Macaca fascicularis: one gene and its partner. The protein of the gene in region 1 purifies or fractionates together with the protein of each later gene. This does not show direct contact. Links are inferred from orthologs where the notes say so. Each region holds a gene or a part of one and is shown in the gene's direction. Other genes may lie near its edges. The genes, in order: MIA2 and MIA3.

Region 1 (3,581 bases):
TTCAGAAATGGAATCCAGTAGAAATGATACCAAAGATGATCTTGGTGTAAGTATTGAAAGAGTGGAATTGTATCCATGTATTCAACAGCCTTCTTTTTTTTTTTGAAATGGAGTTTCACTGTTGTTGCCCAGGCTGGAGTGCAGTGATGCTATCTCGGCTCACTGTAAGCCGGGTTCAAGCAGTTCTCCTGCCTCAGCCTCCTGAATAGCTGGGACTACAGGTGCGTGCGACCACACCCAACTAATTTTTGTATATTTAGTAGAGACAGAGTGTCACCAGGCTGGTCTTGAACTCCTGACCTCAGATGATCTGCCCGCCTCGGCCTCCCAAAGTGCTGGGATTACAGGTGTGAGCTACTGTGCCTGGCCCTGAGCCACCGCGCCTGGCCTGAGCCTTCCAATCTCATGGTTTACTAGAATAGAAATAACAGCTAATAGTCTAGCTTTTGATATAAAGCTGATTTTTTCTTTTTGATTAATATACTTTCTACTTAGCATTAAAGCTGTTTCTTTTGTAGATGGTAACCTGTGGTGATAAAATACAATTTGCAGACTAGGAGTTTGAGTTATTTTAGTAGTTAAACAAGATTTTAGTTCCCCTCGCCCTTGGATTTTTATTTGAATATTTTAAAATATTTTTTTTTATTAAGATAATGTTTTTTTTGAAAATATAAACATAGACATCTTGCTTTTTCTTTTTTTCCAGTATATATTTGATAAAATAATATATATTTTGGTGCTCTTGGGTTATATTTCTGTTTTATCTTTAGACAGACTATTACTTTGTTGGTTAAAGCTGTTTTCTGTTGACTTAATAAAATATTTGTGATAACTAAAATGTGATAGCTAATAGATTAATGTGGAAAGCTGTTTGAATCTTTCTTTAGAGCTTTCTAAGACTATCATGGAATGCTTTCTGTCTAGATGGTTTCTTTTAAGCCTGAGATTTTAAGGAAAACAATTGCAAATTTGCTGTTTTAGTGACTGCTATATGTCAATTTGTTGTAGAATTTAAATGTGCCTGATTCATCTCTCCCTGCTGAAAATGAAGCAACTGGACCTGGCTTTGTTCCTCCACCTCTTGCTCCAATCAGAGGTCCATTGTTTCCAGTGGATACAAGGGGCCCATTCTTGAGAAGAGGACCTCCTTTCCCTGCACCTCCTCCAGGAGCCATGTTTGGAACTTCTCGAGATTATTTTCCACCAAGGGATTTCCCAGGTCCACCACATGCTCCATTTGCAAGTATGCTTTTTTAAACTTTTTTTTTTAAAGCTCAATATGTGTTTTATTAATCAGAGATTTAATTTTACTATCTGTTAATGTAGTAACACAGTGGAGGAAACATTTTTCTAGCATTCTGTGAGTGTACCATTACTTTTCCGAATTGGGAAGGCAGCCAGCCATAAGTGGACTATAATGAGGTTTCACCTTGATTCAGCTTAATAATATGGAATTATTTCTGTATTTTGGTAGTCAAGAAAATAATTGACTTTTTGCAGGTCTTATGATAAAACTAAAATCATCTGTACCTTATCTGGTAGCAACTGGTCATTTTGGCACTTAGTGAAAATAATTAAAACTTATATTCTAGCATTACAATTACTGGCTATTTTTTAGTCCTTTTCATAAGTTGTTCTGATGTAGTCCTACTTATTTAAAATTTAAAATGTATTTAATATGTTTGACCTAATTTTTGGATTTATTGAATTCTTTTAAAGCTTCACATAAGAAAAAGGGAATAATACATTGCTTTTATATTCATACTTTACTGTTTTGAACTATAAGGTTCTGCAGAATAAATAAGTGGTTACCAAATACTAGGCTTTTCCTATGAATGTCTCATATAGTCATTCCTTTCCTTATTTCTCCTCTCTTTTTAAAGTTAAAGGTGAATTAAAATGAATTTTGTTTGGGGGAATTTTAAGGTGGCCTTTGATATTACTGGAAATGTTTCAGTATAATATCAAATCAGAGTCGGGAATCACTGATATGAATTTTAAGTTTGGTGAAAATATTACATGAAAATGTTTTTTGAGAAGGACTTTGATAATGAAAGATAAAAATGTTATTTTTACAGTAAGTTTTATATATTTTGAAATAATTCCTCTTTTTTTAAAAACAGGTGTTAAGATAGGACAAAAATTACATAAAAAATTAATGATATTTCCTTTAATCTTCTGTATTGGAAGAGGTACATTTTTCTCAATGTAAAAAGTAATTTGTTAGATGAAGTAATTATCTGGTGTCAATTTTCAAAGAAAAGAATAGGTAATGGAACTTATAAACTTAATGATTTATTAGGGCACAGTACAGGTTCTTAAAGTTAAAAAATGTCTTTTACCAATCTCTTTGAACAGTGAGAAATGTCTATCCACCGAGGGGTTTTCCTCCTTACCTTCCCCCAAGACCTGGATTTTTCCCCCCACCCCCACATTCTGAAGGTAGAAGTGAGTTCCCTTCAGGGTTGATTCCGCCTTCAAATGAGCCTGCTACTGAACATCCAGAACCACAGCAAGAAACCTGACAATATTTTTGCTCTCTTCAAAAGTAATTTTGACTGATCTAATTTCCAGTTTAAGTAACTGCTGTTACTTAAGTGATTACACTTTTGCTCAAATTGAAGCTTAATGGAATTACAGTTCTCAGGATAGTATTTTGTAAATAAAGATGATTTAAATATGAATCTTATGAGTAAATTATTTCCATTTTATTTTATTCTAGATGGTATAACTATTTTAATTTGATTGATCCACTATTACATAAACAATAGTGGGAGTTTTATATATGTAATCTTGCAGGTGGGGAGGCTTTAAATTCTAAAGGCTATGTCTTTATGCCAAGAACTGTATTTACTGTGGTTGTAGACAAATGTGAAAGTAACTTTATGCTTAAATAAATTTTAGTTGATTTAAAGATTTGTTTGGCATTGATAATAATAAAATCAGCTAGTTTTTCTATAAGTTTGACTCTATTAATTAACTTTTTTCCTTTTACCAATAACTTTGAGGTGCAAAACTCAAACTTATATGGGTCTTTCATGTTCAGTTATGTTATGACAAATGTGCCCTCTTTCTTGTAAATAGACATGAGTGGCCCAAAGCAACAAATTAATACACTCTTAAAAGTCAAAATTGATTATATTTTAAAGAAAACTGGATATTATCTAATGATCAGTTGTAGACTTTTGATCTTCTTATTCACTGAATTTCTTGCACAGTTTCTTTATTGCTTTCCCTGCCCCCCCACCCCACTCTTCTTTTGTAATGTATTTACTATTTTCTGTGGGGAATATTGAGATTTACTACAGGATAACTGTAGTGAGTGATGTGTCATCATTTTGCGCTTTGGACTCAATAGCTTTAGTGTTTCCCTAAATCAGGTTTGTAGGTCATTTTAGGCTTCTTGCACATTAATATGATTATGGAGGAAAGGCAGTGAGGCATAGCTAATAAACATCACAATACTTATGTTGACCAGTTGGTTGTTATAGTATTAGACTTTTTTTTCAGTGCCAAAAGCTAGAAGATTAAATATTCTTGAATAAAAGCAGTGATACATTTGTAATTGGAACACTTCCCGC
Region 2 (3,828 bases), on another chromosome or scaffold:
AGAGAGTTTCAGGTAAGGTCCAGTCTCGTATCTGTAAGGCACTAACTACACATTCTAAGAGCATTTATCTATAGCGCACAATGGCTTTATGACTAAAAGGATTTAAATATATTTAATATTTAAATATTTAAAAAATTGGCTCGGAAGTGTGCATGATGGAATGGGGGAAATCATTCATCTCTGGTATACTGGACAGGTCTCCCCAGAAGATTGTGAATGTTTATTTAGGGGAAGAAAAGTATCTTTGTTGTTTTTTTAACTTTTCCATCATTTTATGGCTCCTTGTGTGTCAATTTGCTTACTGGTGGAGGAAAGGAAAAATATAGATTTACTCAATATTCCTGAAAGCAGATCTTAGTGACTGCCTAGAATGCTTATTTGGAGTCAGGTACCTACCTTAGCGAACCTTGTTTTCAAGTTGTTCTTGTGGCAGTAGTAAAATGGGAAGCCTCCTTTACACCATTCTTTGTTCTCTTACATTTTTATATCTCATGCATCTGTATCTCAGTAAGTTCCTTCTGAAGCTGGTTTATCTTTCCCAGTCCAAGGAAAATATGAGTCCCAAATCCATGTAGACTGAGAACCTGACAGCCAGGTGATTCTGCCTGTTTCTGACTGGGGGAGCAGAAGTATGACATAGAGGGCACAATGTAGAGAAGCTGATGGTCTTTCAGCTCCTTCTGGATGCGTTATTATGAAGTGAATTCCCAGAACACCAGGCATAGATGTTGGGAGTTGGGGAACCCAATAAATGACACCTCACTTTTCCCCACCTGTGCTCAAAACAAATTGAGAGACCCAGAAATTGGGCAAATAGGAGATCAAAATGACCCCGTTACTTACTGATAAAGCTGTTTGGAATGTGCAGAACTAATGGGCTTTCTAACATGGCAGTCTAAACTAAGATGGACTTATCCAGTCACAGACAGAGCTACCCAACTAGGGGTCTCCCCAGGCGGGACCGTCTCTGTCAAATGGACAGCATGGAGGAGCAGAATATGTGTTTTCTCTCCAGCAGGTCCCAAACAGAAAACAGGAATGGGACTGAGCAAACTCACCAGCCACATGAATCATTCTTCCCCTGGGGAAGAGAGAATGAAGGGAAGCCAGGAGTATTACTCAGATGGGAAAGTGGGTTCCAGTGTCCTATCCACCCACTGCCCAAGAACAGTCAGTGCCCAGTGTTGATGCAAAAGCTCCTCTAGAGCCAAACGTGAATTTGAGATTATCTCAATCATTAACATGGATAAGAGTTTGCTCTGGTGACACTTGGCTGTTGACACACTAATGTTTTTCTTTTTCTTGCAGGAGACGGATTTTGTTTGTTTTGATGGAGGAAGAGATGATTTTGATAATTATAATGTAGAAGAACTTTTAGGGTTTTTGGAACTGTACAATTCTGCAGCTGGAGATTCCGAGAAAGCTGTAGAAAAAACTTCACAGGATATGGAAAAAAACTCTGAATTATCTACGGAAAGGGAACCTGAACCTGAACCAGTAGAAGCCAACTCAGAGGAAAGCGATAGTGTATTCTCAGAAAACACTGAGGATCTTCAGGAACAGTTTACAACTCAGAAGCACCACTCCCACGCAAACAGCCAAGCAGATCATGCTCAGGGAGAGCAGCCTTCATTTGAATCTTTTGAAGAAATGCTGCAAGATAAACTAAAAGTGCCAGAAAGTGAAAACAACAAAACCAGCAATAGTTCTCAGGTCTCAAATGAACAGGATAAGATTGATGCCTATAAACTTTTGAAAAAAGAAATGACTCTAGACTTGAAAACCAAATTTGGCTCAACAGCTGATGCACTTGTATCTGATGATGAGACAACCAGACTTGTTACTTCATTAGAAGATGATTTTGATGAGGAATTGGATGCTGAGTATTATGCAGTTGGAAAGGAACATGAGGAGAACCAAGAAGACTTTGATGAGTTGCCATTACTTACCTTTACAGATGGGGAAGATGTGAAAACTCCAGCAAAGTCTGGAGTTGAGAAATATCCAACAGATAAAGAGCAGAATTCAAATGAAGAGGATAAGATTGAGCTAACTGTGCCCCCTGGCATCAAAAATGATGATAAAAATATACTAACAACCTGGGGGGACACTATCTTCTCTATTGTCACAGGAGGTGAAGAAAATAGAGGTACGATGGATTTAGAGAGCTCTAGTTCAGAGGAAGAAAAAGATGATGATGATGCATTAGTCCCAGAGAGCAGACTGGGGAAACCACAGTCAGCAACAGATTATAGTGACCCTGACAATGTAGATGATGGTCTTTTGATTGTAGATGTTCCTAAAACAAATAATGACAAAGACCCGGAAGTAAACACAGACCATCACATTAAAGGAAAAGGGAGGGGAGTTCAGGAATCCAAGAGGGGCCTGGTACAAGATGAGACAGAATTAGAGGATGAAAAGCAAGAAGGCATGACTGTGCACAGTTCTGCTCACAGCAATAACCTCAACTCTATGCCAGCTGCTGAAAAGGGTAAAGACTCATTAAAATCAGCTTATGATGATAAAGCAAATGACCTAAAAGGAGCAGCTATTCATATCTCAAAAGGAATGCTCCGTGAAGAAAAGCCTGGAGAGCAGATTTTGGAAGGTGGCTCAGAGAGTGAATCTGCACAGAAAGCTGCAGGGAATCAAATGAATGACAAAAAGATTCAACAGGAATCCTTGCGTAATGCACCACTCATGGGAGATAACCACCCTAACGCATCCAGAGACAGTGTGGAGGGAGACGCTTTGGTTAATGGGGCCAAACCTCACACGCTTTCACTGGAGCATCAACGTGAGGAATTGAAAGAGGAATTAGTTCTTAAAACTCAAAATCAACCTAGATTCTCCTCTCCAGATGAGATTGATTTGCCCAGAGAACTGAAAGATGAGGTTCCCATTCTGGGAGGAAATCTTTCCTGGCAACAAGAAAGAGATGTGGCTGCCACAGTCAATAAGCAAATGAGTGAGAAGATAAGGCTGTCTGAGGGAGAAGCCGAAGAGGACTCCTTGGATGAAGAGTTTTTTCATCACAAGGCAATGCAGGGCACACAGAGAGTAGGACAGACAGAACAAACTGACAGCACAGGAGGACCAGCTTTCCTTTCTGAAGCAGAAGAGGACGATTATCCCTCTGAAGAACTACTAGAGGATGAAAACGCTGTAAGTGCAAAACGGTCTAAAGAAGAAAACCCTGGGAATCAGGGCAGGCAGTTTGATGTTAATCTGCAAGTCCCTGACAGAGCGGTTTTAGGGACCATTCATCCAGATCCAGAAATTGAAGAAAGCAAGCAAGAAACTAGCATGATTTTAGATAGTGACAAAAGTGACACTGCTGCCAAAGGGGTCAACACAGGAGGCAGGGAACCAAATACAGTGGTGGGAAAAGAACGCCCTCTGGCAGATGAGAAAGCACAGAGGCAATCTGAAGGAAGTGACTTTTCTGACAGCATAAAAACTCAGACTCCAGAATTAGGTGAAATGTTTCAGAATAAAGATTCTGATTATCTGAAGAACAACAACCCTGAGGAACATCTGAAGACCTCAGGGCTTGCAGGGAAGCTTGAGGGAGAACTCTCAAAAGAGGACCATGAGAACACAGAGAAATACGTGGGCACAGAAAGCCAGGGTTCTGCTGCTACACACCCTGAAGATGACTTGTTCCTCTGGACCCCACATACAAGTGTAGAGCCAGAGTATAGTTACAAGAGGGAGGACTTGCTTATCATAAGCAGCTTCTTTAAAGAGCAACAGTCTTTGCAGCGGTTCAAGAGGTACCTTAATGCCTATGAGATGGAAGCCTTGCTACAAGAAATGTCATCA

What was found.
Region 2: the proteins of MIA2 (region 1) and MIA3 purify together in Homo sapiens (affinity purification with western blotting; 6 studies listed by BioGRID and IntAct, counting the BioPlex papers as one, with this or other methods). This does not show direct contact. The link is inferred for Macaca fascicularis from reciprocal best matches to the Homo sapiens genes MIA2 and MIA3.

Annotation. Positions count from the first base shown.
Region 1 is NC_088381.1:107,191,479-107,195,059, forward strand, and holds the end of MIA2 (melanoma inhibitory activity protein 2), read left to right. Parts: coding exon 1-46; intron 47-1,008; coding exon 1,009-1,243; intron 1,244-2,358; coding exon 2,359-2,525; 3' UTR 2,526-2,961; downstream 2,962-3,581. UniProt on the Homo sapiens protein: Plays a role in the transport of cargos that are too large to fit into COPII-coated vesicles and require specific mechanisms to be incorporated into membrane-bound carriers and exported from the endoplasmic reticulum.
Region 2 is NC_088375.1:80,624,926-80,628,753, forward strand, and holds part of MIA3 (transport and Golgi organization protein 1 homolog), read left to right. Parts: intron 1-1,308; coding exon 1,309-3,828.